Tribolium castaneum: one gene and its partner. The protein of the gene in region 2 interacts with the protein of the main gene of each other region in a pairwise test. Links are inferred from orthologs where the notes say so. Each region holds a gene or a part of one and is shown on either strand. Other genes may lie near its edges.

The links. The genes of interacting proteins can lie anywhere in the genome.
Region 1: the proteins of run (region 2) and protein big brother interact in a two-hybrid assay, tested with the Drosophila melanogaster proteins (2 studies listed by BioGRID). The link is inferred for Tribolium castaneum from reciprocal best matches to the Drosophila melanogaster genes run and Bgb.

What each region holds. Positions count from the first base shown.
Region 1 is NC_087398.1:9,985,236-9,988,890, reverse strand, and holds part of protein big brother, read right to left. Parts: intron 601-3,655; coding exon 370-600; intron 1-369. UniProt on the Drosophila melanogaster protein: Regulates the DNA-binding properties of Runt.
Region 2 is NC_087399.1:3,522,871-3,527,325, reverse strand, and holds the start of run (segmentation protein Runt), read left to right. Parts: upstream 1-1,612; 5' UTR 1,613-2,125; coding exon 2,126-2,573; intron 2,574-2,904; coding exon 2,905-3,072; intron 3,073-4,455. UniProt on the Drosophila melanogaster protein: Plays a pivotal role in regulating the expression of other pair-rule genes such as eve, ftz, and h.

The sequences.
Region 1 (3,655 bases), on a different chromosome or scaffold from region 2:
CGGTTCGACGCTCGCACTCTAAAGATTTCACTTGCATTATTCTAGAAAACGAAACACCGACATTTGTCCAACAAAATCCAAAAAACCGCTGGCGTGTGATGTGAAATGAGTTACTTACCTTCTTTCCGATTCACGGTCAAATAAAAACGAGCAAACAAAAATGAAACAAAATGGATGAAAAATCCGTTTATTTACATATTGCATTCATAAGAATCGGGTAACTAAAATTACGTCAACATTCAACGATAAATATTTACAAAAATAAAGGTAAAAAAGACAGATTAAACGAAAAATTAATCATGCCAAGTATCACTAAACCTAATACAGCTTCATGTAGTTCCTCTGGTGGAGGGCGCCCCCGACACGTACCTCTAGGTCTTGCTCAGGCCGGTCCTGCTGCCTGTACCCCCTCTGCTTGTCCTCGAACTCCCGCAGCCTCTGGTTGTACCTCTCGATCTGCTCCCGCAGGAGGGCGTCCTCCTGAGCGGCCCGCTCCTCGCAGTACTCCAGGCAGCCGACGCCGTCGAGGCGCTCCAGGTCCAGCCAACCCCGCCATCTCACGCAGACGCCGTTCATGATGAACGAGGACTTGATGTGCACCTGAAAGCAAGCGAAAGCTCCGTTAATTTATTATAAAATTGCAAAAATTGAATCGGCCCGTTGCTAATGGAATGAATCGATTCCCGCCCTCTCGGCGGGGGCAAAGGGTGCGCTTTGTCCGAAAGGCGTGCGAAAATTATGTCGTTATGAGTTTTTTCGGCGACATCTGTAACTTTATTTTTTTCTTTGAGAGCGAGGAAGGGTGCGCTCGAATAACCCCGCGGGAGGCATTTGTACCTTTGACTGTTTGTTATTATTCGAGTTGTCAGAATTAATAATGACGTTTTGAGAGGGGTGATAGGGATTTTTTCGAGATTAGGTGGATTTTCACCGAGGGCAATTTACGCAGATGGCGTGGACAGACCATTGGTCAGAAGTGGCCGTGATTTATTTCGGAAACGCCCAGTGTTTCAGGGGCGGCCAGGAACCGGCCCCGAAGGGGTGGACGCACCCAACGGATTCTATTGTCGAAAAGGTGCTGGTCTGGCGACCTTTTGCATAACGGTGGCATGAGAGAGACCAATAAAGTCAACGATTTACGAAGCGAGAACAAAAAATAATAATAAGAAAAGTAAAATCTAAAATGAATCAATAAACAAACCCAATTTCTTAAAAATTATCTTATTTTGTGTTAGAAACTTATAGATTGTTCGAATTTTCCTGCAAAAAAATTCATTTATGCTCAAAAATAAAACTGTTTCGCAAAATTTAGTTTTGTTCTGAGCGAGAAAAAAAATTACAAAAAACCTGGAATTAATTAATTTGAATTCTTTTTTTTGCCTTTTTAAAATAGGTAAGCAAAATAGACTCATTGGTTGACTAATTACTTTTTGGCGAATTATCCGTAGGATGTTTACGAATTTTGCAGAAAGCAAAAGTTAAAGGACTTTCGCCTGTAACCTACGATCGCCGCTTAAGGCTTTAATAAATTTTTGTTTTTTTTTTAAATAATGTGTTAATTATTGGTTGGTTTTTAGAGGAAGTATGTTTTTGAAAATTATTTGTTTTTCTTTATTTTTCAGAAAACAAAGCTTATCAAAAAGGTCTTCATTTAGAAAAAAACAGTAAACTGTTTCGTCACTAACTCGCTTTAAAGACAATTGTCTTAGCGAATCATCTTAATAATTTTTCTGAGGAAACACAGCATTTGCTTATCAAAAGGACTATCGATTGTAAACTATGCAAACATTTCTTGGAACTTTTTTTTTTTCTTTGCCACAAAATATTTTGTCCTTGGCTCATTTTTAGACGATTTATTTTCTTATCGAATCGTTCGTACAATTTTTATGATTTAGCAGAAAACAAAGCTTAGCAAAAGAATCATCGACTGTGAAACCGATAATGACTTCTTAGGGCTTTAATAATTTCTTTGTTTTTTCAAAATATTTTGTCATTGACCCATTCTGTGTCGAATTATTTTTTGGTGAATCATTTTCCTGGTGAACAATTTTCCTAATTTTTGCAGATATCAAAGCTTATCCAACGGGCCTTCGATTGCAAAAAAATAGTAAACCAGCAATAATTTGTTACGGTTTTAATATAATTTTTTATTTTTTTTTTAATATTTTGTTTCTATCTAGTTCCAATTATTTTTTAGGGAATTATCCGAAGAATTCTGTTTTTTTGCAGAAAATAACAAAAGGTCATCGAATGTGAAATATACAATTATTTCTTGCGACTTTAATATTTATTTGGTTTTCTCAAAATATTGTGTCGTTAGTACGCATTAGTTAGTTTTCAGAAGAATTATTTTGTTCTGTTGAATCATTCGTGAGACTTTTCAGACTTTTGTAGAAAGCAAAGATTATCTAAACGGCCTTCGATCTCAAAAAAATAGTGAACCGGCAATTGTTATTTAAAGTTTTAATAATTTTCGCTATTTTTTTTAGTTTTCACCAAATACTACTTTATTTTTTTCTTATTTTTCTTAGCGAATTTTCCATATAAGTCTCATGATTTTTGTAGAAAACAAAGCTTATCAAAGAGATCGTCGACTGTGAAATCGACAATGACATCTTAGGGTTTTAGTAATTTCTTTGTTTTCTGAAAATAAATATTTTGTCATTGGCCTATTCTTTGTCGAATAATTTTTTTGGTGAACCATCTGTACAATTTTTGCAGATAGCAAAGCTTATCTAACGGGCCTTCGATTGTAAAAAATAGTGAACCAGCAATTGCTATTTAGAGTTTTAATAATTTTCGATTTTTTTAGTCTTCACAAAATACTACTTTATTTTTGTCTTGACTTTATTTTTCTTAGCAAATTATCCATAGAATTCTCATGATTTTTGCAGAAAACAAAGCTTATCAAAAAAACCTTCGATTGTGAAACCGACAATCACTTCTTACGGCTTAATACATTTTTTTGATTTTTTCTAAATATTTTGCCATTAGCTCATTTTTGTCGAATTATTTTTTGGCGAACCATCCGTACCTACAATTTTTCTGAATTTTGCAGAAAACAAAGGACCTTCAACTGCAAAAAAAACAGTAAACCGGCAATAATCTAGTAAGAACGTAATAATTTTTTAACTTTTTCAAAATTTCTGTACAATTTTTTTCTGATTTTGGCAGAAAGCTTAACTAATTAGTCAAAGTTACGTTATTTTTGTCTTTTTCGGAGCATTTTAACACCAAAACCTCAAGTCTGATTATTTCAAACAGGCCAAAGGACGAAATGTTTGGCCTTTTTCGCAAATTTAGCTTGTTTTTGAACTTATTTTTGCAAAGTATCGTCATAAATACCCAAATTAGATCTCAACTAACGATCTATTGGCCTATTTAGATTGATAGTTTTCTGATAAAAAAATTGATAAAACGAAAAATTTTTTTATACTTGGGATATTTTTAAAAATAAAAACTTTTAGCTGCAATTCCAAAAACTAAGACTTGAGTAATTTCTGGAACTGAAACACATTATCATTGAGTTAGAATTACAAAATAAATAAATCTTCAAGCAAGGAAGTCAAGGCAATTTTTCGTCGTAAACTGTTAAAATTTATGAAATGCTGCGAGTTGAAGTGACATGATTGTTCTTAGTCATAAAAGCGTCCAT
Region 2 (4,455 bases):
GGAACTCTATTTTCAGTTCAGTAGTTTTGCACACTTTTCTCGTTAATGGCCGTTTTAATTTAGCTATTTTATATTTTTCAAAGGCCGTTTCCCGCTTAATTAAGTGTTTAAATTTTTATGCTTCAGTCGAATTAATTACACATCATAAACGTGAAATCCAAGGTAAAAACAAACCATTCTGAAAATAGCTTTTATTGTCTTCTCACTTTCCCCTAATTTATTTTTGCCCATTTCGCACCTCAGTGTTCCCCGTTCCTTAAACAGCTCCCTCGAAGAATCGCAAAAATTCAATATGAAGCGCAATAACACGCGTGTAAAACATTAACCCCCGTCATGTGCAAGCGTTGCTTTAGATGAGGCATTGATTTATGCCCCGCCGGTTCGGATTGCAGCATGTCGTTTATTAGTAAGCGTGTATTAAGGGTGTTTTACTCCGAAATCTTCCCCATAAAAAACACTCACCCCCCGCTTTATTCAAATAAATCCGCTCCCTATCGATTAACCCCCCTCCCATAAACCCTACCAAAAAAACAAATTCGCATCAGTGGAGAAATCGGCACATTTGGCGTCTTATCCTGCGAGCAAACGCCAAACAATACGCTCACAACGTCGTCTGGAATCTAGTCGCTTGCGTCTGAAAACAGCTGAAAGTAGATGAGTGGAGTGGGGATGAGGGGGTGGCTTGGTGTGTGGCATGTCAGGGGAGGGACTAACCACGGCTAGGCCTCAAAAACCACGTCTGGGATTGGCTATATAGCGTCTCACTCCTACCAACGTCACCTAACCGAAACTGTCTCCCTCTCGCACAAACAGAAGCGCATCGCCCGTCTCTCGCACTCTATCCCGGTTACACCTCAACAAAACCCAACTAGCTTTCTTCATCACCTCATTTGCCGCCCAGGCCCGGAATAACACAAAAAATTACAACCAAATTTATAATTTGGAAAAATAAAATAAAATAAAAAATACTAATTTCGGGAGTGAGAGCATCTGATTGGCTAGATTTGCTCACGTGATCAGCCAATCACGCATTTAATTGGGGATTAAATTTACGGCGTTCATATTAGAATATAAAAATTAGTGGAACATTGTAGATATGCGATTTTTAATTTTATATACTCACTATGTACATTTTTCGAAAATGTATATACAGGGTGTTTTACGTAATTTTACGAGGCCTGCGCCTGTAAAATGCAATCAACAATGCATATTCCAACACTAACTTGATTACAAACTTTGACAAATTGAATAGTCTTCTCGAGTTTGTTCACCCCTTTAAAAAATAGCCTCGTTTTTGGTTAGTTAACTATTGAGTTAGACAGATTAGACACACATTTATTCCGTCTCTTGATAGAACACATCAAAATTGTTTGTGAAAAACAGCAATTTATGAGTAATAATGAGATAATGATTAGTTTGTCAACTATTGCAAGGGTTTCCAAAAATTAAATATTTAATTGTGTATTTTTTTAAACCAGTGTTCTGCGATTTTTGTATGTAAACACGCTGTATTTTTTGTTTTAATATATTTTTTATATATTTTCTAGTATTAGGAGATGTTCTATAGTTTATACATAACTTATGTCTTTTCTTTAATAATTTGTTAAACTTGGAGTGTTTGCCGTGGTGTGGACGTTGCGGTGGGCGCGAGCCCGGTCCTGCATTATGCTCACTCAATGTATCAAATTGTACGTCTCACTTCAACAAATGTAAGCGATACTTTGATCTCTGTCAAATGCAAAACTGTAGCACCTCTCACTTTCGTGCACGCAACCCCCATATTTTTTCTCTTTCTTCCAGTCAACAAGACGTCGTCTGTCCTTTGCCTTTGGTGTAAATCGGCGTGAATCCGTCTCTGTCTCCCGTTTTATAAAAGTCGGACCCCAGCAAGGGTCACATCTGTCCCTTTCTATCGCCCATTATAAGGCGACAAATCACATCGCTCTCTTTCATTCACCGTACCTATTTATGCTCCATAAAAACTACCCTCCTTCAGCAGCAGGAGCGGGGGTGCTAATATCGGCCGAACAAACGAAAAAGTTTCAAATTCAGTCCAACACCGGCGACCAAAAGTGCAGCAGCGTTTTTAAAAATAGAGTGTGTGGTTCGTGAGTGTCGTGCACCCATGCATTTGCCCATCAACGCCCAGCAGCCGTCGATCATGGACATGTACGCCAGCCTGCAAGAGACCCTCCAGGAGTACCACGGCGAGCTGGTGCAGACGGGCAGCCCGGCCGTGCTCTGCAGCGTGCTGCCCTCGCACTGGAGGAGCAACAAGAGCCTGCCCATCGCCTTCAAGGTGGTGGCCCTCGACGAGGTCCGCGACGGCACCACGGTCACCCTGAAGGCGGGCAACGACGAGAACTACTGCGCCGAGCTGCGGAACTGCACGGCGGTGATGAAGAACCAAGTGGCCAAGTTCAACGATTTGCGGTTCGTGGGGCGAAGCGGTCGCGGGAAGAGCTTCACCCTCACCATCACCATCAGCTCGGAGCCCTACTACCAGATCGCCACCTACAACAAGGCCATCAAGGTGACCGTGGACGGGCCCCGGGAGCCCCGGACCAAGTCAAGTAAGTACGAAACCGTGACAAACATTCAGTGTTTAATAAACAGCCATAAGCGCGTAAAACCTTCCATCAACATATGGCTCAAGTAAACAAATAAAACGAGTAACGACTTTCTTGGTTTGTCGGCATATTAAGTATAGTCAACAACGTAAAACTTTTTATGTTTATCGCAATCGAATTCAAACATTTAAATCAGTTTTATAGGGCATATGCTACAGATTCGGGTAAATTTAGTAGAGGAATAAAGCCAAGAATAAAACCGTTGTGTAAACACCCCCCGCGTGTTGATTGCAAAAGCGATGTTTACTAACCGAAAATTTACGATTTTTTACAGATTACCAGTATGGGTACGGCTTGCCCGGAATGCCCGCTGGATTCAACCCCTTTTTGTTGAATCCGGGATGGCTGGATGCGGCATACATGAGCTATACGTGGCCGGATTACTTCAGGGCCAGGACGAATGTGCCCACGCAAACCAATCTACATGCCTCACTTATTAAAGGTAAGGAAACAACAATCATGCTCTATTATTTAACGATACTATATTATTTAAAAGTTCTTAAGCTTTTTTCATAAAAAAAATAAAATTTTTAACTGTCAGTTTTGAAATATTTCCGAAAAACTATATTTTGGAAAGTTGTAACAGTCTTCTGAGCGACCATTTTTTTAAGTGGCTTCATTGTTTGTTAAAAAATTGAAAGTCATGAGCTTTACAAATCATAGTTTCCGAATAAAATAGTTATTTTATTTAGCTTTGCAAAAAGAAAATGGTGAGTTTGCTTATTGTCTCAGTTTTTGCATCTGATTTTAGTAATAACAATAACTGTGAGAAAATTCAGTCTTTAGTAATAATTTTCGTAGGAAGTTTTATAAAAAATAGTCATAAGCAAAAATATTTTAAAATAATAAGAGTGGTTCTAATACCTCGTAATATGTTATTTTGTACACAGAACTAATAATGATTTATTCTTATTTGACTTAATACATAAATTAAGCTTAATTATGTTTTATTTTTTAACGTAAACTGAAAATATCGCTCGTTCTATACCAGCAGTTTTTTTTTAATTTTCTATGATGAAAAACAAGCGAGATAACCGCTTAGAAAGAAAGGAATCGTGACGTCACACCCGCCTTTCATCACAGAATCTTCTTATTACTCTATCACTGAACGCTCACTCTCAATCACCAAAAATCTGACAAATATTTGAACATTTTTCAAAGATCTTCCACAGCGACGTTTCGATACCTTTATTGTATCTTCATCAGGCTACAATTTGGGCGTTTAATTATTATATTGTTGGATAACTAAACTAATAACTAAACGCCTAAATTGTAGCCTAATGAAGATACATCAAAGGTATCGAAACGTCGCGACGAAATTAATGGTTTTATTTCTCTTCTCCTGTATACCATCTTCGACGAATCAAACAAATATATTTTCAAGTACAAATACCACAAAATGATGAATCTTCTACAATATTAAAAATTAACTATTTTTTCGACTAATTTCTGTTTAAATTTTGTCTTCTGTTAGTGTCTTTTAAAAGCCTAAATCCATTTGATCTTAATATTGAACCAAATGCTCGATAGGCAGTTATGACGTCACAATTTCAAACTTAAAACGAAATAACTTGAGTTAGAAAACAGGTACAGAGAAATGATTTTCACTTCTGTAATAAGCGTCTTCAGTACTATCATTCAAGATAAATCTTTTTTATTAATTGCCAATGCCTTTAAACTGGAAATATTAATCAGGGATTACCTATAACACTGAAAACCTACTTCTCTTTACTTCCGCAAAATTAAAATGAATGGCTTATTATTAATCGGTGTTTATTTAACAAACAACACATACAGAATTTTTGTACCAATTTCTTTCTAAAGA